Oryzias latipes: one gene and its partners. The protein of the gene in region 4 purifies or fractionates together with the protein of the main gene of each other region. This does not show direct contact. Links are inferred from orthologs where the notes say so. Each region holds a gene or a part of one and is shown on either strand. Other genes may lie near its edges. The genes, in order: sart3, tut1, cd2bp2, prpf4, ddx23, mepce and snu13.

The links.
Region 1: the proteins of prpf4 (region 4) and sart3 purify together in Homo sapiens (affinity purification with mass spectrometry; 5 studies listed by BioGRID and IntAct, counting the BioPlex papers as one, with this or other methods). This does not show direct contact. The link is inferred for Oryzias latipes from reciprocal best matches to the Homo sapiens genes PRPF4 and SART3.
Region 2: the proteins of prpf4 (region 4) and tut1 purify together in Homo sapiens (co-immunoprecipitation; 3 studies listed by BioGRID and IntAct, counting the BioPlex papers as one, with this or other methods). This does not show direct contact. The link is inferred for Oryzias latipes from reciprocal best matches to the Homo sapiens genes PRPF4 and TUT1.
Region 3: the proteins of prpf4 (region 4) and cd2bp2 purify together in Homo sapiens (affinity purification with mass spectrometry; 3 studies listed by BioGRID and IntAct, with this or other methods). This does not show direct contact. The link is inferred for Oryzias latipes from reciprocal best matches to the Homo sapiens genes PRPF4 and CD2BP2.
Region 5: the proteins of prpf4 (region 4) and ddx23 purify together in Homo sapiens (affinity purification with mass spectrometry; 4 studies listed by BioGRID and IntAct, counting the BioPlex papers as one, with this or other methods). This does not show direct contact. The link is inferred for Oryzias latipes from reciprocal best matches to the Homo sapiens genes PRPF4 and DDX23.
Region 6: the proteins of prpf4 (region 4) and mepce purify together in Homo sapiens (affinity purification with mass spectrometry; 4 studies listed by BioGRID and IntAct, with this or other methods). This does not show direct contact. The link is inferred for Oryzias latipes from reciprocal best matches to the Homo sapiens genes PRPF4 and MEPCE.
Region 7: the proteins of prpf4 (region 4) and snu13 purify together in Homo sapiens (affinity purification with mass spectrometry; 4 studies listed by BioGRID and IntAct, counting the BioPlex papers as one, with this or other methods). This does not show direct contact. The link is inferred for Oryzias latipes from reciprocal best matches to the Homo sapiens genes PRPF4 and SNU13.

The regions. Positions count from the first base shown.
Region 1 is NC_019867.2:12,885,934-12,889,923, reverse strand, and holds the start of sart3 (squamous cell carcinoma antigen recognized by T-cells 3), read left to right. Parts: upstream 1-1,190; 5' UTR 1,191-1,429; coding exon 1,430-1,630; intron 1,631-2,366; coding exon 2,367-2,493; intron 2,494-2,595; coding exon 2,596-2,700; intron 2,701-2,786; coding exon 2,787-2,971; intron 2,972-3,137; coding exon 3,138-3,243; intron 3,244-3,365; coding exon 3,366-3,490; intron 3,491-3,578; coding exon 3,579-3,734; intron 3,735-3,918; coding exon 3,919-3,990. Other genes in the region: iscu (iron-sulfur cluster assembly enzyme ISCU, mitochondrial), read right to left, coding at 260-338, 419-529, 606-719, 887-988. UniProt on the Homo sapiens protein: U6 snRNP-binding protein that functions as a recycling factor of the splicing machinery. Promotes the initial reassembly of U4 and U6 snRNPs following their ejection from the spliceosome during its maturation.
Region 2 is NC_019877.2:4,404,446-4,408,532, forward strand, and holds the start of tut1 (speckle targeted PIP5K1A-regulated poly(A) polymerase), read right to left. Parts: upstream 2,801-4,087; 5' UTR 2,639-2,800; coding exon 2,563-2,638; intron 1,501-2,562; coding exon 1,310-1,500; intron 1,240-1,309; coding exon 1,033-1,239; intron 933-1,032; coding exon 818-932; intron 521-817; coding exon 393-520; intron 1-392. Other genes in the region: proliferation marker protein Ki-67, read right to left, coding at 3,301-4,087. UniProt on the Homo sapiens protein: Poly(A) polymerase that creates the 3'-poly(A) tail of specific pre-mRNAs. Localizes to nuclear speckles together with PIP5K1A and mediates polyadenylation of a select set of mRNAs, such as HMOX1.
Region 3 is NC_019866.2:3,948,470-3,952,417, forward strand, and holds the start of cd2bp2 (CD2 antigen cytoplasmic tail-binding protein 2), read right to left. Parts: upstream 2,801-3,948; 5' UTR 2,713-2,800; exon of another isoform or gene 2,451-2,712; 5' UTR 2,447-2,450; coding exon 2,372-2,446; intron 1,776-2,371; coding exon 1,646-1,775; intron 1,477-1,645; coding exon 1,319-1,476; intron 1,242-1,318; coding exon 653-1,241; intron 571-652; coding exon 485-570; intron 15-484; coding exon 1-14. UniProt on the Homo sapiens protein: Involved in pre-mRNA splicing as component of the U5 snRNP complex that is involved in spliceosome assembly.
Region 4 is NC_019870.2:25,895-29,394, reverse strand, and holds part of prpf4 (U4/U6 small nuclear ribonucleoprotein Prp4), read right to left. Parts: intron 2,911-3,500; coding exon 2,816-2,910; intron 2,736-2,815; coding exon 2,677-2,735; intron 1,840-2,676; coding exon 1,716-1,839; intron 1,607-1,715; coding exon 1,517-1,606; intron 1,449-1,516; coding exon 1,326-1,448; intron 861-1,325; coding exon 753-860; intron 389-752; coding exon 270-388; intron 191-269; coding exon 84-190; intron 5-83; coding exon 1-4. UniProt on the Homo sapiens protein: Plays a role in pre-mRNA splicing as component of the U4/U6-U5 tri-snRNP complex that is involved in spliceosome assembly, and as component of the precatalytic spliceosome (spliceosome B complex).
Region 5 is NC_019865.2:19,110,139-19,114,320, reverse strand, and holds the end of ddx23 (probable ATP-dependent RNA helicase DDX23), read right to left. Parts: intron 3,608-4,182; coding exon 3,495-3,607; intron 3,406-3,494; coding exon 3,262-3,405; intron 3,161-3,261; coding exon 2,935-3,160; intron 2,842-2,934; coding exon 2,696-2,841; intron 2,576-2,695; coding exon 2,398-2,575; intron 2,304-2,397; coding exon 2,061-2,303; intron 1,984-2,060; coding exon 1,832-1,983; intron 1,752-1,831; coding exon 1,643-1,751; intron 1,250-1,642; coding exon 1,075-1,249; intron 1,001-1,074; coding exon 777-1,000; 3' UTR 501-776; downstream 1-500. UniProt on the Homo sapiens protein: Involved in pre-mRNA splicing and its phosphorylated form (by SRPK2) is required for spliceosomal B complex formation.
Region 6 is NC_019872.2:14,592,797-14,596,841, forward strand, and holds the start of mepce (7SK snRNA methylphosphate capping enzyme), read right to left. Parts: upstream 2,801-4,045; 5' UTR 2,326-2,800; intron 575-2,325; 5' UTR 528-574; coding exon 1-527. UniProt on the Homo sapiens protein: S-adenosyl-L-methionine-dependent methyltransferase that adds a methylphosphate cap at the 5'-end of 7SK snRNA (7SK RNA), leading to stabilize it.
Region 7 is NC_019877.2:3,754,733-3,758,412, forward strand, and holds snu13 (NHP2-like protein 1), read right to left. Parts: upstream 2,487-3,680; 5' UTR 2,289-2,486; coding exon 2,286-2,288; intron 2,139-2,285; coding exon 2,018-2,138; intron 921-2,017; coding exon 658-920; 3' UTR 501-657; downstream 1-500.

The DNA of each region.
Region 1 (3,990 bases), on a different chromosome or scaffold from region 4:
TTGCTGAAATGGGGTTAAATATGAAATTAATTTAGTGGATTTGGAGAACTCAGGAAGTTGTACTTTTTTCTCCTCCTTTGTGTTGTCCAAAAACAAGTGTCCACACAAAAAAATAATTTTAATACAAATAAATCCTAAAACAGGCAATCAGTTGTGTCACACTTTGTGTAATGTGATTTCAATGCAGCAATTGTGTGTATTCTACCATTAAATGTATCATCTACAAGGCAGGCAGCTCGAATAGGAAAATCAAACTTACTGGAACAATGAAGCTTGACTGGAGGGAGGCACAGTTCTTTGGCAATGTCTGAATTTTTAATCTTCATAGCTTCATCCAGCTACAGGATTTTAAAAAGTATGTTATTATGATCCTTAGATAAAACAAACAAACTTTTCGGAGCCTTTTTTCGTAACTCACCGACTTCCCCTTCACCCACTCTGTTGCTAGGGAGCTGGAGGCTATAGCCGACCCACAGCCGAATGTTTTAAACTTTGCATCCACTATTTTTCCATTTTCATCAACTTGAATCTAGGATCAATATTAAAGTAAATTAATAATGTATAAAAATCTGAAATATAACGTGTTTGGCCAAATTCAAGCTTACCTGGAGTTTCATTACGTCACCACAGGCTGGTGCACCTACCAAACCTGTCCCCACACTTTTGGAGTTTTTGTCCAAAGATCCCACGTTTCTCGGGTTTTCATAATGGTCAACCACCTTCGAAAAAAATTAAAAATATATATAATACGGGGTAGGTTACAGAGACACAAATAGCATGTCGCATGCATTAGCTTGTTCAGTTCAGCCACACCAACTACCGTTTTCGCAAAACTGGCAACTTTGTTTAAAATAAAAGCCGTGTATTTGTGCATTCAATGTTTTACCTTTTTGTGGTATGAGCAAAGTGACTTTAACTCCGGTCTAAATAGCCTGCTGCAAAACAAGGAAGGCAAGGACGCACAGTTTCGTACACTGATCATCGCCATGTTCACATTGCCGATTGTGAACGATGAATGCCGAGTGAACACGAGAGGTGCCGAACGCTGTTTGCTGATAAACATGGTGGACTTCGTGTTAACATGTCGAAAAAGCTCCATCTAGCGGTTGAAGTGGTAATTGCCAAACTTGCTTCTTTTTTTATGTGGCTCAGTGTTTTATTGAACCAGTCACCGTCAGTGTCACTGGCATGGAGACACACTTTTGTCCCGCTCATATTTTTGTAGTTATCCCCGTTCCAATTGCTCCCAATGACCGCAACTGTAAATTGTTTCTTAAGTTAGTTTGTCCACTCACGCACTCCGTAATCCTAATATTTTGAGGCACGAGCATAGCGTGAACGCGCACGTCTTTCACCGTTGGGACGGGGCGGGTTTTCAATAAGAATTGGCTGCTCAGGCTGCTGTTGCCAGGCAGACAGTATTTCCAACATGGCAGCGCCAGCTAACGCAGAACAAACGCAGTTGCAAGATATGGAGGAGGACGGAGCAAAGGTGGAAGAGAGGGAGATGGATTCAGACGAAGAGGAGGACGAAGAGGGCATGCGTGTCGAAAACTCAGACGAAGAAGAGGACGATTCTTCGGAAGACGAAAAAGAAAATGAAGCCGAAATCCAGCGGTTGGAAGAACAGGTATTGACATCATCAAGCAGTCATGCTTTAGCCGAGGTGCTAATATCAATGAATGAATCGCAAAGCCTATACCAAGAAGCAGTTATAAAACGACTCACTCATCAGCATAGTTAACTCTTCTTGACAAATAAATAAATATCATTTTTGTTAGCGAATCACACATGAAACGTTTACGATGTTTATATGGCAATCCTGCTCATTCCTGCTAACTGGTTAAGCTAGCAGTTATCGCGCCTTTTTATCCTTTCGGGATATTGTCATCATTACTCTTCTTGACTTTTAAAGAACAAACTGAGGGGTAGCCTGCACTGTATTCTGTACATTTGTCCTGTTTAGTATATAGTGAAAATAATGTTTATATTGTGCTAAGGAAAGGGTTAAATGATTCCTTTATCTGTACCCACTTAAGATTGCTTACTTAGACTGCACAGTTTGTAGTGTTTACTTTGTCTTTAGCTGTGTCCAAGACGGTCTTTGGGTTTATAACCTTTGACCTTTTGCTTATAATAAGGAGAACTTGGCTCATGTGTTTTTTTTTCTTTTAATACACAATAAAGAGGAATTAATTGGTAAACATTTGACAGCAAAGTTTTGACCGCTTGCTATTGGAGTCTTGCTTTATTTTTTTCTCTTTACAGTACTATGCAATAATAAGGTTACATAGCTTATAGAAGCTGCCTTATATTTTGATAATGTATTGCTACCAAATAATATTTTTTTCTGTGCTCATCCTCAGCTGTCTATCAACGCCTTCGACTACAACTGCCACGTGGATCTCATCAAACTGCTGAAACAAGAGGGAGAACTTATCCGTCTGCGAAAAGCAAGACAGAAGATGAGCGAACTTTTCCCTCTTACTGAAGGTTAGGTTATGTCTAACGCAGTTCCAGCACAGACAGAATACTAGCACTGCATTGTTTGTGACAGATATGTAAACGCCTCCTTTTTTGTTTCAAATTCTGCAGAAATCTGGCTGGACTGGCTCAAAGATGAGATTCGTCTGACAGAAGAAGAGTCAAACAGAGAAAAAGTCTATGAGTTGTTTGAAAGAGCCATCAAAGACTACATCTGTCAGTGCACCATGTTATTGTCATTTCCTTTAATCCAATGTTCAGTTATTAGATTGCCTTAATGTCTTTTGTTTTTTTTAACACAGGTCCAGAAATTTGGCTTGAATATGCCCAGTACTCAATTGGGGGTATGGGCTCACCAGGTGGGATAGACAAGGTGAGATCCATCTTTGAGAGGGCAGTGACAGCTGTGGGGCTTCACATGACAAAAGGACAGTCAGTGTGGGAGGCATACAGAGAGTTTGAGAACGCCATTCTGTCCACATTGCAGGTTTGTGTTTACTTTTTTTTTTGTCTCTTCAGACTCAAAATCTGGGTTTAAATTTCAAAGATGCTTTACTTAAAGATAAAAAAGTCTGCATCTTTAAACAAACAACTATAGTGTTTGACAGATTGGGCCAAATTTCATCTTTTTTTGTTTTGTAATCTTCTGTCAGCCTCCCCCTGGCAAAGTTCCCAGGAATGAGGAACAGGAGCTGATAAAAACCCAGCTTGAAAGAATTCACACACTGTTTCGCCGTCAGCTGGCCATCCCCTTAATGGGTAAGCAGCCAGATAAAATTCAAAATCTGAATCAGTGTTGCTATTTAAGTGTACCTTTTTTAGATGTCACCAGATTAAAATAGTTCTAATCTGTAAACCTTTGGACTTGTGTGCTTTTGTAGACATGGAAGCTACTTATGCAGAGTATGAAGAGTGGTCTGAGCATGGAGTGCCTGAGGCCGTCGCGCATCAGTACAAAAAAGCGTTGCAGCAGATGGAGAAGTGCAAACCCCTTGAAGAGGCTCTGGTAGCTGACCTGCACACATTTGGTTTTGAATCTGTCTTGAGCGACTTTTTTCTAGTTGTTAACATCTTCTTGCATCCGTCTGCTGCAGCTGGTGGCCGAACCTCCTAAACTGGCTGAATATCAGGCCTACATTGACTTTGAATTGAAGGTGGGGGACCCAGCACGGATCCAGATTACCTTTGAAAGAGCTCTGGCAGAGAACTGCTTGGTTCCAGACATGTGGTCTAAATGCACCAAGTATCTTGTGAGTATTGATTATTGTTCAGTCTATAAAGAATGAAATTTTTGCTATGTATTTGTTTTAGTTCAGCTGCCTGTTTCTGTTTATTTAGCATTTTAGTAAATTGGCCAATTAAGAAAGAAAAATGAAAACATAATTAAAAAAAAAGTGTTGCTTAGATTTTTGTCTTTTATTTTTGATCTTTTAGGATCGCCAGCTGAAGGTTAAAGACTTGGTTCTGTCCACTCATGAGCGGGCTGTTAGGAACTGCCCCTGGACC
Region 2 (4,087 bases), on a different chromosome or scaffold from region 4:
TGTAACGTGAAGTATTTGTAAGAATCATGCAAGTTGCACGCAGTTGTGCAACACTCTAGTCATAACCTAACTGACAGCACGCAATTGCAGCACGTGCAGGTGATGTGCCTGCAGGACGCCCGGTGGATGATGGTGGATTTTCCTAATTTCTAACAGTCTGGGTGCACGCAAGGAGCATGCACTTAGTGCAAGGAGCATGCACTTAGTGCAAGGAGCATGCACTTAGTGCAAGGAGCATGCACTTGCGTTGTGTTGTGAGTTAATGTGTTGTGTTGTGAGTTAATGTGTTGTGATCTTTCACAAACATTTTCTCTCAACTCGCCCCGCACAGAATTGGCCATCTTTCGCCCGTATCCACTCGGAAGGGCTTTCGGGACCAAACCCAGACGAACCTGTTCTGTGGTGGACTTGGCCCGGGCCTGGAACGTCTTTGTGTTCTCCAGGTCCAGGAAAAGGTCTAAATCACAGGAGTGGATTCCGAAAGTGTTGACAGAAGAGCCAAACGGCAAAATCTCACTGTCTGCAAAGAAAAGTAGAACAATTGCTGTACTTCATGTCATAAAAACTAAATGACCCGTGCTGCCGTCCCGGTGTAGGTGGGCACTGTGGCAATGTTACTATGGCTGAGCTGGCTCCTGGTACGAATAGATTCCCGATATCCTGTTTCCTCCCAGCAGAGTCAGACCATCAGTTTAATTCCTATTCCCTGTGTGTGGGGTCATGGGGCGTATGTGTAATGTTTTTGTTTTTAATTCTAAAGCCGAACAACACAAGAGAACTGCTTTTTATAAATAAAGTTTGACTTGATTTGAAATACCTGGGAAAAATTCAACAAAGATTTCCTGCAGGAGTTGAACCAGCAACTCGCGAGCCTTCTTTTCATTCTCTCCCAGCTGCAGCCGCTCCACCACGTACTGCATCTGAGCGTCCACCTGCCGGGGAACAAGCAGCTTTCAGTTTGACCCTCAAAAGCAGATGTTTGTCAGGTTTGCTTTGGTGTGTTTCCAGTGTCGTAAAGTGTCGGGTTCTCACGGACGGCAGCTGACACAGCTCGGGTTTGAGACGCTCAAACATTTGTTCCAGGCTCTGAGCATCGTTCCTCTTCTTTGGAATCAACTTGAACTCCTTCCTCTCTCGAGGTTTAACTCTGAGCTTCAGGCCTTTCATCAGATGCTCCACACAGGTCAGAGCAGCGTGTGCGCTCTCAGTCTCAGCAAACTGCACTATGGCAAACACTCCCTGCAAAGCCAGTAAGACAGAAATTACTCTCACAGTCTCCCTGACCATTCAAACCGTGGTTCGCCTCGACCTTTTCTTTATCCATGATGACATCAGCGATCGGCCCGAACTGCTGGAAGTGCTCGGTTAGGTCAGACTGAGAGACTTCAGGCTTGATGCCGCTGACAAACACGCTGCGCTCCTCGTGGGTTTTCCTGGTGGTTCGAACAGAACTCAGAGTCTGGTGCTTCCGCCCCTTTACGTGCTGATCCACACTGGACACTGCAGGTCAGACAGACGCCATGCTTTTAGGTGAAACAAAAGGTTATCACACGTTTAGCGTGCACACACACATCCCTCGTTGTGGTTCACCTTCAACCCATTGTAAGTTAACCGACTTTTTGATTGGACGTCTTCTTGTTTGCGTCACTTATTTATATAAAGGCAGACTCAACAGGAAGAGTCAAAAACCAATTATTTACTTCCTGCTCGATTTTAAACATTGTCTTGTTTGTATCTGTAGTTTTCAACTGATACTGGTGTTTCTTCCATTGCTCTATTGATTTTTTTTTTTTAGAATAAAAACTATATTGCCAAAAGGACTTAACCACCCATCCAAATGACTGAATTTGGTTTTTCCAACCACTTTCATAAACAGAGGGTTTTAAATCATCAACATAGGCGAGTTTCATACAAAAATGTATGAAAGACTGAGCTGCTTTCAGCTAATTCCAGTTTGATTCCCCGGTTTCTGGTTTGGAGGTTGCAAGGAGAACTTTGTCTGCTGATCACATTGAATCCAGTTCAATGTTTGGTGGAGGGCTTATCATGGTGTGGGGCTGACTTTAGGACCTGTGCATGATCCCTTAGCTCCAGTGAAACGAACTCTAACTAAGGGCTTCATGATTTCCGTTCCCTATCTGAGTATGAAAAGTAGCATCCATCAAAGTATTATTTGCTGGGTAAGAAATGCATGCAGTTCTGATCTCAACCACGCCAAACACCATGAATGAGGATGAACAGTTGCAGGTTGGTGAAGGAAAGTTTTGCCCACCATGAGCATAAAACTACGGTGCAGCACTAAAATACGACCCCCCCCCCCCCCCCCAAAATATGTGGGACTTGATGCTGTAGCCGAGGTAAACTCCATAAAATATGAAAAAGAACTTTATTAAGGTTACTTAAATTGCATTTTCAAAATGATTAGCGTTCAATTTGTGAAAAATACATACAATTTTCCACAGGTTGAGCAACTGTTCGGGTAACTATTTAAAAAGAAAATTGTCGTGTGTTACTAGCTACTAGGCACCACGAAAAAAACCCACTTTAGCTTCGTTAACTCACTATTAGGTAGGTTGACGTTGCACAGAACACACTGAAAGCCTCTCGGCGTTGTCTTTATATCGCCGTCCGACGACATTATGATGCTTAAATAAAATAACTAAAACTGGACTTTAAAATGCAGGTCCTGGGACCATTAACATAGTTTGGAACCGCCTTCGTGCTTGCACGCGCCTCTTAAATCTCCCTCCAGCGTTGGGCTTGCGTTCGGTCCGTCTCCAAAATGTGTCCGGGTGGTTTGTATATCTTTTCAGTAAACGTTCCTGTTCCGCAAACGCGAAAATCAACTTGAGGTTTTTCTCAATTCTCCAACAAATAATAAATACAAATAGAAAACATCTCATGTTTTCTAACACCACATAAAATATTTGTTTTATCTGTCAAAAATCTCCCAAATTGAAGATAAAAAGATTTGCCTTTTTCTAATAAATAATATAATATACACTTGATATTAACCCCTTTTTGGGGAGTTTCAAACTATAAAAACAATAAAGAAATCACACCAATAATTCCAATCAAGTACAAAAATTTATTAGACCCCTCTCCCTGCTCAACAGTAAAATATTTTTTCCCCTCAGACATAAAAAGGATAGAAAAACAAAAAAGATAAAAGAATTAAAAACAAGTCCCTGCTGAACGGGCAAATAAAGCAGTGCTTTGTTTTCAGTCACCAAAACTACATTCTACAATACTTTGCAATTACAAAAACGGGAGAATAATAACTGTCACTAACAAAGACAGTTATTTCTTAGCTGCTCTTCCTCGTCGGGTTTTTGGCTGAGGTTCATTTTCTTTAAGACCACTCTTGCTTGTGGAAGCCGCCGCCACATCGCCGCCATGAACTCCTCGCCTGCTTCTCTTGGCGGGCACAGTTTGGACAGCGTCCCCTGAGAGCTCCTCCCCTTTGGCCGCGTCGGCATCAGAGACATTTTTGTTTTCATTGTGAGCGTTGAGTTTTGACTTCCTACCACGAGCAGCCTTTACAGGAAGTGCTTTTGGAATATCACAGATCTCCAGATCTGCTTTCCACGAGACAAACCGCGATGGCTTCTTTGATTCCTCCACCACAGGCTTGCCTTCTTCTTCAGCAGGGCTCGTCTGCTCACTGCTCACCTCTTCAGGTGATTGCTTTGCTGCCACCCGTCTTCCTCTCTTTGCTTTTGGGGCAGCGACACCTGGAGCCGGTTCTGGTACAGACAGAGTGAGTTGTTCCGCTGTCTCACCTGCTGGAGCTGCTCCTCGCTGAGCTCTCTTAACTGGGGTGGCTTTTGCTACCTCATTTTGGGCCGCCTTTTCTCTCTTTGTTCTGCTGGATTTGCAGACTTTTTCAGTGGTTTCCTGATGTTCAGGCTCCAGCTCTAGGCTCTCAGCAGTGACGGCGTCCTCTGGGACCCGTTTCCCTCTTCTTCCTCTCACAGGTTTGTCTGTGGAGACACGGAGAGGCTCTTGTACTTCAGTAGAAGGTGCAGCAGCCACACTTTCAGCGTCTTGTTTTGCTTTTCGTCCTCCTCTCCTTGGTTTTGCAGGT
Region 3 (3,948 bases), on a different chromosome or scaffold from region 4:
TCGTCCACCCAGCCCTGGAAAACGAACAATAAGAAGATTAAAACCCCACCAGGTCCAACTGAGGGTCAGAGCTACTTTACAAGTCAATAATCTGGCAAACACGGTGGGATTTACTGCTATCTTTACAGAAAGAGAGCAGTTAAAATTCACTTAAAAAATAAATAAACTTTAAAAGGTAGACATAAAATGCTGCATTAAAGCTGCACAGATTTTATCATTTTTTGTAATAATGTCAATTATGACTTCACTTAAATATCATTTAAACATATTCTGTATCCTGATTTTATTCAAAACAATGTATAGGAGTAACAATAATTACACAATTCTTGTACATTAGGCGTCAAATGAACTATTAGCTGACAGATATAGACAAAGACACCACTTTCTAATTGTTTATATTAAAACACAAAAGGGAGATTAACAGTTTAATTTTGCACAAATCCCATAAGAATAATTCTTCATGTACAAATTTGAGGGGAATAACCTGCATCTGCTGGCTGGTGAAGGGGCCGTAGACCTCTGTGTTTTCCTTGTTGTCCCATTTGTACTCCCACATCACTTCATCCGTCACTAAAAGTTCAGAAAGATCGATCAAATAAGTTACATTGCATGTGACGACAACCGAAAATCTTCAAATGTTTCGCCAAATTACCTCTTTTGTCTTCCTCATCCTCTTTGTCTTCTGATTTTTCCTCAACTTTCTCATCAAATTTGTCGCCAAACATGTCGAGTTCATCCTCATCGTCACTACACCTGGTTCTCTGCCTGTCTGCTGGCTGCTTGCTCGTCATCCTCTTCATCAAAAATCCTAGTTTCTCATAAGTGTGCTGATAGATTTCAAACATCCCTGATCCAACCAGTCTGTCAGCGAGAGCTGTGAGCTTATCCAGCTTCTCGGCATCTCTTTTGTTCTCCTTTGTGGGTTCGTTCTCTTTCCTCAGCTTCCCCTTCTTCCCCCCAAGGCCTCCTAACCGACGGAGCGCCGTAGCAACCGTTTCTCCGGGTTCCAATAACTCAACAACAGCTTCAGTGAGCTGATGCTGCGTGTAGGATGCCAGGGGGTCCTCTACAGGTGTCTCCTCCTCCTCCTCCTCCTCTTCCTCTTCCTGATCACCCTTGTCTACTTGCTTTTCCTCCCTCCGCTTTTCCTCCTCAGCCTCATCCTCATCACCAGCTCTGCGCACCCGCTTGGCTCCCAGACCTTTCTTCTTCTTTTTGAAAGGCTGCTCTCTTATTTTTACCTGTAATAAAGGAAGATGTTTCATTCATTCTCTCTTGACTGAAAATACGCCATGTATGTGTTCCTAAAACTAGTTACCCAGTCTATGTTGTCTAGCCAGTTGTCTTTAATCTCTTTCTCCTTTTTGATGAAATAGTTTCCCTCTGAATCGAAGTGACCTTCCTCCATCTCCTCTTCTAGGTTAAAAGGTGTAATAGATACTCCCTCATCATAGTCGATAGTTGCTCCTTCTTGACCTGAAAACACATTTTCTGACATTAAAACAGCTTCCAGGGAAAGTTTACGAAAGCACTATTAGCATAAAGGACTACTTTGTGCAGGTAAACAGATATTAAACATCTTGGTTTAAAATTAAAGCACCCTCACTTATATTATTTTTCAAAACAAACAAAAAACAAGGCTTACCCTCCACATCATCGCTGGCTAGAATGTTGTATTTGCTGTGTTTTGATTCTCCTCCTTCGTCCTCTTCATCACTGTCTAGTGAATGTTTGCCCTTGAACCTGGAACCTGGTCCACTCACTGCCTCACAGCTCTGTTTCAACAAAACAAAGTCATAGGGATGGCACTTAGAAACAAAAGCGAAACAAATGTATTTATTTTGTGATCGATGCCCCCAAAAAAAGCATAACCTAAACAGTAAAACAAGGTCATGCTTCACCTAAAAATAGGTGTTTTTATTCTTTTACATTCTATCATTTCTCAGATAATAAAAAAATTACACAGGTCTGCCATATTTTGAATTAAACAAAGTGTCCACTTAAGCTAAAAATAATCTCAGTTCATAAGTTACTGGAAAAGATTTCAAATGACTAATAAAAGTTATAACTTATTAGTTATGCAAATGCCGTTTTAGAATATATCAAAATAAAGTAAACATCTTTAAAATAACTGTACTAATATTTCAATAGAATAGTGGAATGAAAATAGTGCATCAAATAAAGGCCAACAGCTCATCATGAGGAAAACACAGAAATGAATGACGCAGCACAAAACTAAAATAAAACACGCGGCACTTAATTAGTACCAATACGTAACAAATGATTACTTATATAGTTTATCCAGATCAAAATTCAGGAAATCAAAGGCTAAACTTTTTTAGCAAAACCCTGACAGATCCTCCGGCTTTACCTTCTTCGTGAGCCCGTCGTCTTCCAGTTCAAACTCTTCGTTCCCGTCCTGAAATGTCACTTTTCTCTTCGACATGGTGCTGGAGAAGACAACAGAGCACCACTTTTATCCACGCAACTACACACCCACAAGTGACTGTAATAACACGCACGTTATTAGCTTTGCAGCTAAGTGTTAGCAAACAACAACACGGAGAGCATGCAGAACAAGTAAACGCCTCGCCACCAACTGCGACTCGATATACGAAAGGCATTCAACATTATGTTGGTCAACATAATGTATAAACAAATAATAAGTATAAATGACACAATAGAACAGATAGGGAGAGCGTGGTAAAAAACCTGCATAAATTGTCAACGTTCGCTTTCGCTTCTTGTTTGACGGAAATCTAGATTTTATTGTTATTCAACAATGGCGGAATGACGCAACACCGCCACCATGTGGTGTGGAGGGTAACAGCTGTTATTTTCAAAGATAAAAGCGTTGAGGCTGGCTCAAAAATTACATTTTGTTTAGGATTCATTCATCTTTTGTTATCCGTTTTTTTTAGCAAACTGTCTTTATTTACCACACCCTTTTTGAAAAACTGCAGTTGTGAATAGTTAAAGCAGGAATAATTTTCTGTAAAACTGTTAATAAATCTAGAAATGAGAATTCAGAGAAACAATATTCGATTTCAGTTTTGCTCTTTCAGACGTCATTTTGAAAACTACACTTTGAATAGAGCTATGTTTCATTTTTGTAGATTTAATGCTTCTCCCTAAAAGCCATTAATGCTATTGAATTTATAACTAAGTCTTTTTATTTTATCATTTTTTAAAATAGCTCTTTTTTTATTTGTGATAGCACACAAACAAAATAATTATTATTAGATCTGCATTTTCAATCGTTTGCATTTTTAATCTTTTATTGTATTAGTTTTTAAAAGCACATAAGGAAAATGCACGGGATTTATGCACAATAGGAACCTTATTAGGAAAGCTGCTCAATTTAAAAAAAGATTTTGTTATTTTCCATGGCAACAAACACAAATCCTTACCAGGAGTTGAAATTATTCTATAAATATAGAATCAGAAGCTGATCTAATTATAGCTTTAAAAAAAGTGGAAAAAAAACCTAGATCAATAAAAGTGGTGCTGTTTTTGACAGGGAACTGAATCTTTTCAGTTATTTTCCATCTGCCCACAGCAGAGTCAGTCGCCTTAAAAGCAATCATAAGGAAATCACATCATAAAAGAAATAAAAGGAGAAATGATGGAGCCAAGGCAGTCAACTCCACCACAGCCACTAGAATCTCACTTCTTGACAGTGAAGCAGGTCGCGACTGCTCAGTTCCCAGGAGCTCCGGGCAGACTCAACAGAGAATATAACGTGTCAGGGTATTATTACCAGGAAGTGGGTTGAGTTATTTATATTTAAACGCTCGTCCTTCGGTGCCCATGAGGGAACCAGCTTTAGTAACTTAATGCTAAATATGAAAACATTGTCTGGGCTGGTCGAATCAACCTGACAGCAAACAACCGCCTTCATATTTAACAACAACAAAAATTAAAACATAATGTGTCGATCTGAATAAT
Region 4 (3,500 bases):
TCACCTGATGAAATCAACAGTGTCACTATCGTAATATCAGGAGCAATCAGGTCTAAATGCATAGACACAATCAATGCTTATACCTTCCCCTCATGTCCTGCCAAGGTCTTCAACGGTGTCCAGCCGGGGTGACTCCAAACCTTTGCTGTGTTGTCATAAGCTCCAGTCAACAGAAAGTGACCGTCTGTGGCTGCAAACAAAAACACAAACTGAAGCTACACAAGAAGTAGTGTCCTTTTAAAAGAGACAGGAAGACTAAATTTTGTTACGTTGGAAGCGGACAGTGGACAGCAGGTTCTGGTGGGCTGGGACTGTGTACAGACACTTCCTGTTGCGCAGTTCCCAAACCTTACAGGTATTGTCACCACTTCCTGTTGCCAGATGATGCCTAACAGAGGAAAACACACCATGAAACAATGCTGTTGGCTGGTTAATGATGTTTTTTATCTGTAGATATAAATTATAGGATCATTTCATCGATTGGACCATTTCTTCTTTCATCCTATATTGACAGTTTCAGTCAACAGCTCTCTGTCTGGATCTGAAATGCAGCTGGCTGAGTTTTTTACAGAGAAGGAGGGTCTACGGGCAGGGATACCCAGTTTAGTTGAGTCTGTTTAGTTTAGTTTAGCAATCAGCTATTGAATTCTATCACTTTATGATTCATTACACAATTACCGATATGAAGCCAATTGAGACGACTTGTTGTAAATATTGGGCTATAGAAATAAAATTGAATTGAACTGGCTGACCCGTTAGGAGAGAAGTGCAGACTGTAGATCTCCTTCAGGTGTCCCTCAAGGAAGACAACACAGCGTCCTGTCCTCAGGTCCCAGACCCTTCCAAAAGAATCCAACCCTCTGAATGAACACCAAAGAGAAAGAAAACACATGAAAGGGATTACGGGATTTATGTGACTCCCATTTGTTGCACATCTTTTTACCTGCAATGTCTGTAAATAGCTTTTTTAATTATACCACATTATTGTTTACATTCATGTTGTTTTTCATTGTTTTATATTATTCTTTTTTTTAATCTTTTATCTTATGTTTACAATGCTTTCATTTACTGTAGCCTTTTTTTTCTCTTTTCTCCCAGCCCAGTAACAGTTTATAGTTTTGTGGGACAAATCATTCACATTTCATGTTTCGCTGCTGATAAAAACCCCGTCACAGTGGGATCAATAAAGTAATTCTGATTTTGAGTCTGATTCTAAATGTGTGTATTTGTGTGCATTATTCTGTTTCTGGTATTTTGATGGTAAACAATAAACTTGGCTGGGAGTATCGGACTATTTTGGTATACTACGAAGTGCACAAACTCACCCAGTAGCTACCAACGAGCCATCAGGGTGGAAGCTCAGGTCGTGGACTCCTTTGCTGTGACCCTCCTGATGGAGGATCTCCTCCTGAACCTCTAGGTCCCACAGACGCCACGAGTTATCGTAGCTGTGTACAGAACACTATCAAAACAGAGTACTGCAAACAGCTGCAGAGTACTCACTGCTGTGACCTACCAGGTTGTTCCCAAAAATCTTCCAGATGGATGCCAGGCCACTCGAGACACTCTATCGCTGTGACCCTCAATGTCTGCCACAGGTTCATCACTACCGCAACCACACAAAGAAAATACGTTGACGGTTTTATTTGAGACGTTTTGCAAGCCTTTAACTCCTCCGTCCCTTCTTCATGACACAATCATCTCCTAAAAACCACCTCTCCATGTTCCACAGTTTGACTGTTCCATCAGCAGCACATGAGGCCAAATTGACATCTGATTGGTCCAGAGAGACTCCAGACTGCGGGCGGAAGACGATGGCACCGACATTGGTGTTGTGTCCTTTAACCAATTGGAAAACAGGGCGTTAAAAGTTCAATTGATTTATTGGTGCAATGACTCCTTCACTGAAAATCAAATAAAAAACATTTATAGTTTTTAACCTAGACGTCAACAATTCTCACAAAGGTTAAAGGTTAATTGTGCTTCTGTGCACATAGAGCAGCCTGAAAGTTATTACTTTATTATAGAAAATAAATAAAAAATAATAAAACAAATGATTAATCAATTATTGAAAATGGTTAAATTGATTAACTTTTAATGATACTACTTCACTTGCTCCAAAAAACTGATAAGTTGATTCATGATTTTTCCTAATGTAACATAATTTTGGACATATTTTTAACTTGATACTTGATCAAAATTTTGCTATGTAAATTCCTGAAACAGTGTTATGTCCATTTTACTGATATAGTATTATTTTTTAATCATATCAATGACTTTTATAGGTAAGATAATCTGCATATATTTTGGATACTTAATTGCCATGTTGATTTCTAAAAGTTATTTTTTACAAAATAATTAAGTAATTCATCTTTGTCATGTGCTTTATTGATATTTGTTTTTTTTTAAATTCTGTCTGACAAAAGTTATGAACCGGATATTGATAAATCATGTTATAAAATGGTTAAGGAAGAACAGGGGTGGGATTATATAGGTTCGCTTCCTTCCACTCCCTTTCAAGCAATATTTATTAATATGTCTAATTATCCCAAGTTTGATTACTTATTGTATGAATGTATAACTGATGATTGTATTGTTGTTGTGTATTATTTCTATTTGATTGCTTGAAATAAACCATTTCAAATCAAATCAAAAAAAAGTTGAAGCTCCACCCACCTCGAAGTGTACGAATGAGGTTGCAGTCAGGGACTGACCACAGCTTACACAGCCCACTCCTGTGGGGTCAGCAGGTCAGAGTTAGTTTCATAATGAGCAGCAGGTCAGACGTTCAGAACAAGTCTGTAGGGTTCATTACCAGGACGCGGTGGCCAACATCTTGGAGTCGGGGCTGAAGTGGCAGAAGCTGATTGGCCGATCATCACCAATCTGACTGCAGAAGTTGTTCAGATTCTGAAGAAAAACATTGAAGTGTCTTTGACAGAACAGATACCGGATCCAAAGAGTCCATGTTGAAGGTAGAGCAGTGCTGCATCTTACTTCAAAAAAGTAATCCGTAACATCACCCAGACAGTAAAAAGTTAGTCAGAGCAGCCTTTCTTCTTTCAAATCAAATCACACTTTATTTCTAAAATGTGCTTCTTATTCTTGCACAGCTCGAAGCGGATTCTGGCAATGTTTTTGAGACGGTAAAATCCTGTCTTAACGACACTTTTAATGTGTGGGATAAAACTCAGCTCAGTCAAAAAGTACGCCCAGGTTTCTCACACACTAAGGTTTAAAGATGTGGTAAATTAGTCTCTTGTCTTTAGAACCCCTGATTAAAATTTATTTTTTGTTCTGGTTGAGCTGTAGGAAGTTTTCTGCCATCCACGGCTTTATATCTAAGAAACAGTTAAAAGAATGTTTATAGGTTTAAGCAGACACAGCGATGTAAAGCTGTGTGTCATAAGCGTAGCTGTGAAAGTCAATACCATATCTCAAGATGACGTCCCCAAGAAGAAACATTTATAAATTAAAAAGTATTGGACCTAAAATCTATA
Region 5 (4,182 bases), on a different chromosome or scaffold from region 4:
CTTTATGTGCACAGCATGTTATGCATGCTAACATTTGTTAACTGTCAAACAAAAATCTTTATAGGATGGTTGAAATTATTCCTTAATTTAATAATAAATATGCAAACAGCTGAAGTCAATGTTCAGTAGATGCTACCATTTAAATTGCATTAGTCATGAATGCTAGTTTTTCATTTGGTGAGAAAAGAAAGTATGGATCAGGTGACTCATTAGCAGTGATTCATTTTAGTTTTAGGTGCTGACATCTTAAAGGCCCTATGAAAGTTTGTTACATTTTTTATTATAACTTTGGTGTTTTTCCACCAACATTTAAACAAGTTTCCATTAGGAAGTAAAAATCCCATTATTTCTGTATCCATATACATCATTGATGTTCTTTTAAGTAGCTGTGGTTTAAAGAAGCAGCCATCACTAATACAAATGTTTTTATATAAATTAGCTCAAGGGTCTTTAGTCCAGGGCTGCTACTCAGGTTTCTTAAACATTCATTCAGACATGTGTCTGGAGAAAGACATTTATTTAAAAAAAAAAAAAAAAATGTCAATTTTCATTTTCATAACATCTAACTGCTATTTTTCACATGTATACAATGTAGATCAGAGTCCTGCTCACTGATGAGACAAAAAATAAGGTGGGGAAAAAAAACTGGTAAATAACTAACCTGATCACAAAATCCTGAATGCAAACCGGGATGACATGACCCAGAGGTCTGAAGTGGGCTTTTTTTTCTCCTTCTTTTATTTTTTATAATAACATTTGACATAAAAAGATAATAATCAAGCAAAGATGGTCTCCTCGCGCCTTTTCTTGGTCAGGATGGTTCCAGGTTTGTGCTGAGCGTCTGGGTGGTTGGCCAGCTCCGGCGGGCAGTTGGAGACGGGACTCTCCAGGATGGCCTGCTTCAAGTCATAGAAGACAGCAGAGTCCTCTTTGGTGAGGAAAGTCATGGCCACGCCGCTCTTACCAGCACGACCGGTACGACCAATACGATGGATGTAATCTATAAAAGGCAGGAGAACGGTGAGTTATTCTTGAAAAAACAATGATAAAACAGCCAAGGGAAAAAACATTTACCTTCAATGTTCTTCGCCATGTCGTAGTTGATGACCATGGACACGTCGTGAATGTCGATACCACGACCAGCAACATCTGTGGCCACCAAGATATCTTTGGCTCCAGCCTTAAGGTTGGAGAGCGCAAACTCTCTCTGCTCCTGACCTTTGCCACCGTGCAGCGTGCAAGCATTGTACTAAAAAGATAAAGATGGTCATCAGCCCAAAAACAATACCAAGAATAACCTAAGTCGAATAACTGAAGATGATAAACACCAAAGTTACAAAAGCACAAGGCTTTAAAACTAGGATTTTTATGAACGATGTCACAGTTTTCCCAAAAAAAATCCTAATAAACAAGATTTTACAAAAACTATTTTCAAATCTGCCTTGTTGCTGATTAAAATTTGGATGGTTTATTAAAAATAAAACACACCCAAAAAAAAAACATTCAAACACAATGCATTGTGGTCAATACTTGCCAGTGACCATTGCTGCACACTGGTTTTATGCAAATTTCTGGGAAAATATATAGGACAAAACCAAGAATCAACCCAGTAACTGATGCTGGTCTGAGTGCGGTAACGTACCCCCATCTTCTCCAGGGACTTGGCCAACACATCGCAACCCTTCTTCTGGTTGACGAAGATGATGATGGGAGGCTCGAAGCCACTGGCCAAAACCTCCAGCATCTTCTTCCTGCACGGACGGGACACAAACACGCTCAGCAACCCCATGAGAAGAGGATGTTCGTTTCTACAGTCGGCGCCAGCTCTCACCTCTTCTCTCCCTCTGACATCAGCATGACCTTCTGCTCCACCCTCTCGTGAGGTTTTCCAGCAGAACCGATGTACACCACAGCAGCCCGCCTCAGGTAGCTCCTGGCCAGCCTCTCCACAGCAGGAGGCATGGTAGCAGTGAACATGACGGTCTGCAGGGATCAACAAAGACAGCTGATTGAGCTGAAGATGCCAGCTGGAGCAGAGCACAGCGGAGACACGGGCATACCTGTCTGTATTTATGCTTCCCAGATTCAAAGTTCATGGTCATTTTCTCAGGGTCTTCTGCTTCGTCAGTGTCTGGTTTCTGATTGGTCACTGGGATGTACTCCAGAATCTTTTGGACATCGGGCTCAAAGCCCATGTCAATCATGCGATCTGCCTCATCCAGAACCACGTAGGTGCAGCGGCCCAGGACCAGGTAGCGGTTCTCCAAAACATCGATCAGACGGCCGGGAGTGGCAATCACAATCTGTTCAGCAAAGACGGACAATTTTCACCACATCGATGCTTCGCTTTTAATTCTAGCTGTCAACGGTTTCTCCAATCAATCCTCTTCCAAATACCTCACAGCCCATCCGGAGTTTGAATCCTTGGTCCTCTCGAGAGATTCCTCCAATCACCGCCACCGTCCGAATACCGAGAGGTTTTCCAAACTTGATGGTCTCCTCTTCAATCTGCTGGGCCAGCTCACGAGTTGGAGCCAAGATCACAGCGTAAGGACCTTGATCGGAGTCTTCGATCCTGCCATGCGGAGAGCAGAGGGGCAGAACAGACAGAGGCAGATGACAAAACCGAAAATCAGGGGCAAAAGAGGGCAAAAATGTTGACATTTACGAGTTCGTTCCACTTCTCAAGGTTTACCTGTCAATTTTGGGCAGAGTGGTGATCCAGACCAGCAGTGGAATGAGGAAGGCAGCCGTTTTACCGCTACCGGTCTCAGCCACACCGATGATGTCACGGTTTTGTAAGCCAATAGGAATGGCCTGCCTCTGAATTGGAGTTGGTTCCTAAAAAATAAAAAAATTGGACACGATTTTAATCAACATTTTCCCCAAAGGCCGTGGTTTCGGGCAGGACAGACGGCGCCCTCATAATCCCACCTTGTAGCCGCATTTGTCGATGACCTCCAGGATGTGTGCGGGCAGCGCATACTCCTTCCAGTTCCTGATGGGGTTGGGGATCTTTCCTCCCTTGGTGGTGATGCTGTAATCCTCTCTGAAGATACGCCAGTCTCTGTCCGTCATCTCGTCCAGCTTCTTCTGAGACCAGTGCCTGTCATCCCAGCGCTGCTTGGCCTCCTTCTTGCGCACCTTCTTCAACCTTGTCCTGAGGGAGAGGAAAATCAAGGATTTTAATTATTCACCAAGTAACTTTCTTTTTCTTCGGGTTAGTTTTTTTAAGTACAGACGGTGTCATGGTTATCTCACTCTTCCTGCTCCTTCTCCTCCAGAGTTCTTCTCTTTTCCATCAGGTCGCCATAGAAACGAGACTGGTCTCGTTTCTGCTGCTTCAAGTCGATGCCGGCTATGAAGCCACGCCCATACAGCTGCACCTGATGCTTCTCTTTATATCTAAAAGGAAAAAAATATATATATTTTTTTTTACAGCCATGGAAATTAAAAACTAAACGAATGAGACAGGAGGGGGTTTGCAGACTCACATGGGATTGTAGTCCACGGATGTGTCTTCTGAAGCGTCCCACTCAAACACAAACTTCCTGTCATTGAGGTGGCGAGTTCTCCGCCGTTTTTTGATGCCGCCCAGGTAACGTTCCTATAGAAGAGTCAATCATTTTAACAGTTCTATAAAAATGTAACGACTGGACAAGAAAGGCTGAATGTACCGTGATTTCCGAACTATAGAGCATACCTGATTATAAGCCGCACACATTACATTTTTAAAGGTTAAACTATTTTGTACATACATAAGCCGCACCTGCATGTGCCCATATTGAAACGTGCTGCAGAATGAGGATGTGTATGTGCTGAAACCACGTGTGTGTGTAAGAAAAAGGGGAGAATTCGTGCAGCGCCAGAGGGAGCGCTCTCTCACTCACTCGTGCTCTGCTCACGCTCCTTCCTCTTACACACGCAACGCGCTGACACACACACATACTCATTCTACAACACCTATATAGTTAGTTCATTAGTTAGTAGTTACTGTTATTTGTTAATAAAGAATCGTGTGATGTAATTATTACATGTACCGGTATTCATTTGCGACACCTGGGGATTTTGTGTGTGTGTGTGTGTGTGTGTGTGTGTGTGTGAGGGGCAAACCGCAACACCTCAATTCCTGCTGCTTCATCACCGCAGTGATGAAAAATCCCACACCGTCACAGCTCTATT
Region 6 (4,045 bases), on a different chromosome or scaffold from region 4:
AGGATCTCCACTGGATCTCGACTCTTTGCAGGAAGTGGAGAGGATTTTGGTGTCTCTGCGTTAAGTGCCCTGTTGACCTCCTCATCCAGGAGGCTGTTCAGATTAAGCGGGTCAAAAATGTTGCCACCCAAGAGAAAGTTGGTGGGCAGGACAGAGTCACTCTCGGAGATGGCTCTTCGTCTCCTCTTGCTCGATGTGGGATGTTTGAAGTTAGAACTGGCTGTGTAGCGCCGCTTGGTTAATTTCGTTTGCTGTTGCTGTTGTTTGGAGTGAGGGAAGCTGTTCCTGCGATTGATGCTGTTCTCGCTCCCTCTGGCTTTTTGTCCCGCGCTGTCTGTGCTCGTGTGCTTTGGTGAGGCTGCAGTGCCCGGGACAGGACAGGCAGCTGCAAAGTCATGCGTGGCTGCATTTTCCTCCATCATCACGGACACACTGCTGTAACCTCCAGTACAGTCTGAGAGCTGCAGAGATGGCGTTGACCTGGCCTCTAAACTGCCAGTTTTTATGGCGTCCTCCTCGACAGACATCTCTGTTAGTTTCCAGAACTGTTCATTGAAACTTGTTTGTCCTTTGTCTGAAAACAAGGAAGAATACAGCTGTTAAAGGACCATCTGATCTCTTATAATCCCTTGAATAAAACACCGTAAACATTAAATTAAGTTCCAAAAAAGTGCCAAAACAACCGATAGGTAGATTTTTGTTTAATTGCATTACAAAGAATGCAAAAAAAAAAGACAATGATAATTGATGTTTTTGCCAACAAAAACTTTAAATACCTAATCTGATGAAAGTTTTTGTGGCGTTTTTCTAACAATGGAGGACAAGTATAAAGACAATATAGCTAAAAATTTTGTTTCTGAGTGTTCCTTTATTCCAGTTGTTCCAAATCAGGGGCAGATGAAAAATGCCATTGGAAAAAGCTTGAAGCTGTGATGTGAAACCTACAACGACAAGCAACAAATTTATTCATCCTAGATAATGATATAGGTTGTTTTTTTTTGGACTAAAAACGACAAAATTTTAATTAAAAGACCACTGAGAACACTTTTTAAAATAGACTTTAAATAAGTAAAATCATAATTTGGGATGTCATCTGCAACATGCTTTGGTCAAAAATGCTAGTACAGACAAAACATCTTTCTTTTTTAACCACACTGTTCCTGCTTGGTTCATGGTAGCATATAGAGGGAGGTTCCACCCGTCTCTGCTGCTCTACCTTATCAGAGATACATAAGGTTTATAGCATTTGTGCCACCTGATTAGAAGGCACAAATATTCCTCATGCACTTCCTAACAAAACTACATTCAAACTTAAACTAACAGAGAAGGGACAGAAGGTCATCATATTCTCCAAAACCAAAAATACACCTTTAAGATGTGACGTTGCTATTGTTGTTGCTATTGTTTTTGTGCCTGTGTAGAAGAAACATGTTTGTTCTTCCACTATTCCTACTGTTTAGAGCCTAAAAGAAAGGTTAATGCTTTTGTTGTTGTTTTCAATTGAAGAGTTAACTTTTAAAAAAAAAAAAAAAAAAGATGACAATCCTATATTTGTATATCTACAACTTCCTGGATAAACATTTCTGCAACTTCATAATTCATTATCAGCTTTACATTAAAAAAATAGATTTGGATGTTACCAAAACTAAAGTTTGAAGTTCTCAGAAAGTGGTTTTATAAAACTGTAGGATATTGTCATGATGATGTCATTTGCAAAAAAATCCAAACAAAATATTTGGATTTTCAGTGTTTTCGGTTTTAGCCTTATTTTAAAATCATGCAAACTGCATTATCTATGATTGATAAAAAAAAAAAGAATTGATTTGAGATTCATCGACATTGTTTTAAGGAAACTTCAATCTGTTCTTTATGGTTGCATGCATTAAAAGTCATCTGGGGAGTCAGTGTGCAGATTCTGGCCTCCATAATTAAGTCAGGAAAGTAATAAGATGGACAAAACGAACAGCAAATAAAATCATAAAGGAGAATCCGGGCATATTGAATATATAAAACATATAATTTTCTTAATAGTAAATAAATTACTTTGTTTTTAGCTGAGTGTTGCATTTTATTATATTAATTTTAAAGGTCCTACGGTCCGCGGCAGATTTTTCGTTAGCATTGCCCTCCTGACAGGCTGACATCTGAAGCGTGTCCACTCGGAGGTTGCTGACCTGAGAAGTTTCTGAGTCAGAGTCTGGAACAGTAGTTTGGGTTAGCATGCTAGCCCTTAGCTCCTCCATCGTGGGCCAGAGCTCTGAAAACGTCGCCTAAACGTTTAGCTCTGGAGCAACAGTGGTGATAAATAAACGACCAAGTACCCACCTTCATGCGCTGACGGGTGAATCCAGAACAAAAATAAACAAACAAATCCCAAGTCCGGTACGGGAAAGTGATACTATGTCCCAGATGGCCGCCGAACAGTGTGGTCACCGTCAGGATCCCAGTGTCACCCCGCGGTGGTGCTCTCCCCGCCTCCGGCCGGGCCGTCTCCACCCCGCTCTGCTTCCACTCAAGCTAACGTTAGCCTAGCTAGCACCCCAGTGTCTCCGAGCCCAACGGCGCTCACGGTTTACACGCAAAGCACGGCCTGTACCCCACTAGGTCTCTCTTGTTTCCCCCACTGCCTTGTCGACTTGTTCGGTCAACTCCAGGCGGACAGTTTGGTGAATAAATGACAGCATTCGCTGACGAGAGTCGGCATGGCGGCGCATCCGGGCTTCGAGTTGTAAGCTTAACGTGACCGGGGCGGAGATCTGTGAGCTCGCGCAAGGTAGTGGGAACTCTTTGCCATTAGATTCAGACCCCTAATCCCAGAAGAGGCCGCGAGCGAGTGGAACTTTTAATGACAGTCAGCAAACACATTTTAATGAACAAACTTGGCCATTGTTTTGGTCTAAAAACGGGACTATAAAGGCACAGATGCCCAACAACACAAAGTAGGTCCACATTGAGCAATTCTGCGGCCCTGACCACCCTCCCACCACCTCATCCTTCATCCATCATTTTAACAGTAATCTCTCATCTTCAGTATATTAGTAGCACTTTTTAAAGCATAAAATAAATCTTATTGTCAAGAGAAAAAAATTATAGCAATACCATTAATTATCTTCTGTCTGTCTGTCTGTCCGTCCTTTAAGTGAAATAATGTGATAAAGTGCTTAAAAGTTTGGAAAAAGCAAAATTTCTAATAGTAATAGATTTAATTTCAGATCTGTAATTGAACGAGAGTATAAAATAATACTGACTGTCAAACACCTCAACAGTGTGTGTTTAGATTTGTTTAATCTTTTGCAGCAGCAGTCAAATGAATAACCTTTGCTTAATTCTAAGTCATGGAACAGATCCACAAGTGGCCTCCTCAGTAACCTGCTCACAACTTTACTTTGGATTTTCTTGAAAGGAAGATTCTTAGCAGAATTTCAGATTGATGTAACCTTTTACATTAATGCATGATCGCTGCTTATAAGAAATTGGCCAAACAGTTGTGAGATGCTGTCTGATACAAAGCTGTGAAAGTACAATAGTTTCCTGTAATATTTGTAACTATCTAACTTGGGAAAATAAAGTGAATTTAGGAGTTATGAACTTTCTCATCATTTTATATTACATTTGTTTTCTTTTTGTAAAGGGCTATTTCTTGATTTATAACAGCTTTCTTTTACGGCAGCAAATTTCAACACTTTCAAGCAAATTCATTACAGTTAGCAGCCTGAAATGCTTAGTTTGAAGCCAAAAGACATTTTAACACATTTTTAAAAAGTGTCTCAAATTTGACATTTAGCTGATGTAACAGCTATTTCTAAATTAAATGACCACAATTAATTTTTCATTTTACCACGCATGAAGTGATATTCATGCTAACACAAGCACAACTTTCTAAGTAGCAAATGAAAACATTAAATATTTGCTTTGAATAACTTGTTTTTTTTTCTTCCAAACCCTTTTTTTTGCATTTGCTACACAAAGCTCTCCCTGTATTTTGATTGAAAATCATCACTCTCAACTGTTTATAGATCAAGCCATGTGATTTTCTGTCTTACAG
Region 7 (3,680 bases), on a different chromosome or scaffold from region 4:
TTTAAAATTATTTTAATTTTAGTAATTTTATTAATCGCATCTTTAGTTTTACTGTGTTGAAAGATGAAATTCTGTTCACTGAACAAAGTTTATGTAAAAAAATAACCTTATTTCTGACAATTTCAGAAATGAGATAAAGGTAAAACGTTCTAAATGTTTTTTAAATAAATTGTAAGAAAAAAATTGTTTAGACCCAAAATTCTGTTTTTAAAATGAAAACAATGTATTGCAAAGCACTACTGGATTACACTTTGAATTAATTCTTTAATACTCATTTATTTGGTAAACATTTAACTTTGTACATTGTAGAGACGTATCTTCTAGAGTCCTTCAGTTTCAGACACTTGTTTTAAATTACATTTCTAACTGGATGAGATGCTTGGAAAAAAATGTTTAATTTCTATGATGTTTTTCTGTCTTCCATTTAAAGTCTCCTTGGTCTCCACTACTTCTGCATAAAGTAAACACTTCTTAAAGGGAAAAAAAATAAAACACAGGAATTACATTAATAAAAAATGTTTATTAGGAAATGATGTTGGTTTTGGACACTGATAGAAGCAAAGCTGCTATGATCACCAAAAAAATAAAAAATAAACACCTAAAAGTATTTTGTTAAAGTAAATAAACTCAAATGAGAACAGAAAATGAGCACAGAGATCACACCAGCAGTCTCTCGATTGCCATTTGGACCGACTGGATCTGCGGCTTGAGCTGGGATCCTTCCTTTATAGTGACGGAGGTGGCGATGACGGGACGCGACACGCCGCAGGCCCGGCCCAGCGCCTGCTTGGAGCGCACAAACACGTACGGGACGTTCTTGTCCTCGCAGAGCAGCGGCAGGTGGAGGATGATCTCCAGCGGCTCAGCGTCAGCAGCCATCACAATGAACTCCGCGATGCCTCTGTTCAGGGTTTTGGTCGCTGTGGAGGAGAGAGCAGAGTCGCCTCGCTGTCAGAACACAGGAAAATGTAAACAATATTAACAATAATAATATTACTCCAAACCCTTGGAAGGTTTGATGATATAAAGTGTCAGAATATAAGATGACATACAAACATTTTTTTTTATATCAGGATGCTTAACTATGAAGCAAAACGAAGACAAAATGGCGTTTTTCAAATATCTGGACAGCATCTAGAATCGCTTGGATTCATCTAGATCCTACAAATATTTGGCTTGTTCATTTTTTTTATTACCTCAGCTTTAAATTGACTGTTTATGAATAAAATGCATTTATTTGAAGCTTTTTTTAAACCAGAAAGTCCTGTTTAACACAGTTATGCAACCTTAATATCTCCTACTGATCGATTTTGTAGAAAGAATTAAAGAAATACGAATGAAATTCTGTTTCAATTGGAAAAAAGTGACAACAATTCATCTATGGATTAATTTCCACTTAAACATTTGACTTATTGAAAAATATTTGTGCAAAAACAGTTTTTTTATTGAATAGTTTATTAAATATTTTATACTTGTTTTCAGCTGTGAACAGCAGTTATGAATAAAAGGAGTTTAAAGCTAAACAGAAATGGAAATTTGCTATAAAAAATGTCATTTAACTCATTTTACTTTAGAATCAGTGTTTTAGCAGAGATGCAGCCCTGCATTCTCCAGCTTAGAGGGCTGTTTTGAATTTACAGCAGACTTTATGGGTTTTTTTTAGAAACACATTGGAGGTTAGAGTGAAGAGGGTCAACCTGCCAAAATAAAAGTTGCTTTCACAGGTAAGAAGCCTCCTCAGGATTTTTGCTCTGGTGAAAAATGTCTGCTGAAACACCAGATTCTTCTTCAACTCTTTCACGCTATCTACTCTTTCTGGTTTAGGTACATTAATCATAGGCTTTAAATATTGGGTGATTTTTACCGGAAGTGAGAGAATCAAGCCTACTAAGCGCTTTATTTTATTTCGTTTCATCATGATGTTTCACGAATTTTGTCGTTAATACAGATAAAGACTGCGATAAATCCCAAGAATATTACACCGATCAGCTAAATATTTCTCCTTTAATTCCCTTACCTTCGTTGGCCCCCTTCCTCAGCTGCTTGTAGTTGGAGGCTTGCTGCACCAAATCCAAAATAGTTTTGGTCAACGTGGCGTCGGCCAGCGGGTAAGCCTTTGGGTTAACCTCAGGTTCTGACTGTTGACAAAAAATAATAATAATAATGAAACACAATAATTACTTTAAATTTAGAATAGCCAGATTACAGCACCCCGCGTGCTGTTATCAGATGCTAATAGCTAGCGGCTTTCGTTAGCTTGCTAGCTCAAGACAAACTACACTCACCATTTTGATTTTCTTTGATATTCCGGCCCTCTCGGCGAAATGCTTCACGGAGGACTAATTCCTTTAACGGGATCGAAATAAGTATAGCGAACGCCAAAAGTGGTAAATTGCGTCTCAAAACCTTCCAAAGGCTGCAGCTCGTGCAAACGTTTACCCCACGTGTGTAGGTCTGCACATGCGCAATATGCACATCAGTAAAAGAAAAATGGTTCGCCCTCTTGAGGTCATACTTTTAACCATTGAACTGTTATTTAACCAGTTTTAGCTTTTAAATATTTACAATAATTAAAATATGATGATGAGTTAAATGAAAGTGATAGTTTTCTAGTTTACAAGAATTTCAACTTATTTTACTTGTGACAGCAGCTGCAGTTCCTTTCAAAATAAAATACCCCCTACACAGATCGGTTGTAGCAGATAAACAGATTCCGAGTTTACAAATAGAGTTAAAACTGCTAGACAGATGCACCCATAATTCGTTTTCTCATTTTACTATTGAATATAAACATGACAACATTGGGGCAAAATCCACTTTTTTTTAACCTGAACATCTGTTTGCAATTCTATACTTTAATTTTGCTTCTGAATAGCATCTAGTCATTGTTGATCAACAGAAATAAGGACTGTTGCTTTATGTGCATCATTTTGCTCAGTTTTCTAAATTTAAAAAATTATAAAACACAACTGTCAACTAAAAGAAATGAACCAAAACCACAAATCCATTATTTATGTTAGTATTATCATTAGCATTTTTTCTTCAAAACCAAAGAGCCACAATGAAAGATTATAAGAGCCACCTCGGCTTGCAGATGATATCCCTATGTTAAATAAATTAAAAATTGAGAGCACAATTTATGTAGAATCCAGATAATGTTGTGTTTGCTCTGAAAAAAATAAGTTACTTCTTTTTATTTTATTTTTCAAATAACAGAGTAAAACTTTAATACTAAAGCACTTTTCATATACCAGCATCATTATTATTATAACGCTCTTCTTTCTGGTGCTAAGAAAAAATACAATTGATTTTAAACGGCACACATCTTAACCACAAGCAGACAGTGGAGTTTTTTTTTTTTAGGAAAAAACCCTCAAAACTCATCTTTTCCACTTTGCTCTTAAGTAGTTTTTACATGTTTGAATATGTGTGTGGGCTATTATTCTTGTTTACAATTTATTTATTTAATGTAAATCACTCTGAAGTGTTTGTAACAAGAAAAATGCTCCATAAATAAAGTTGAATTTGAATTTTAAATACTTCTTCTCCTGAATGGAAACATCCTTTCATTGTTGTGTGATGTGTTTCGTGATGAAATTGTGAAATTGTTCAATTATCGCAAAATTAGATATTTTTGTTAAGAAAATAAACCTATTTACACGAGCAAAATGTCCCGTAAA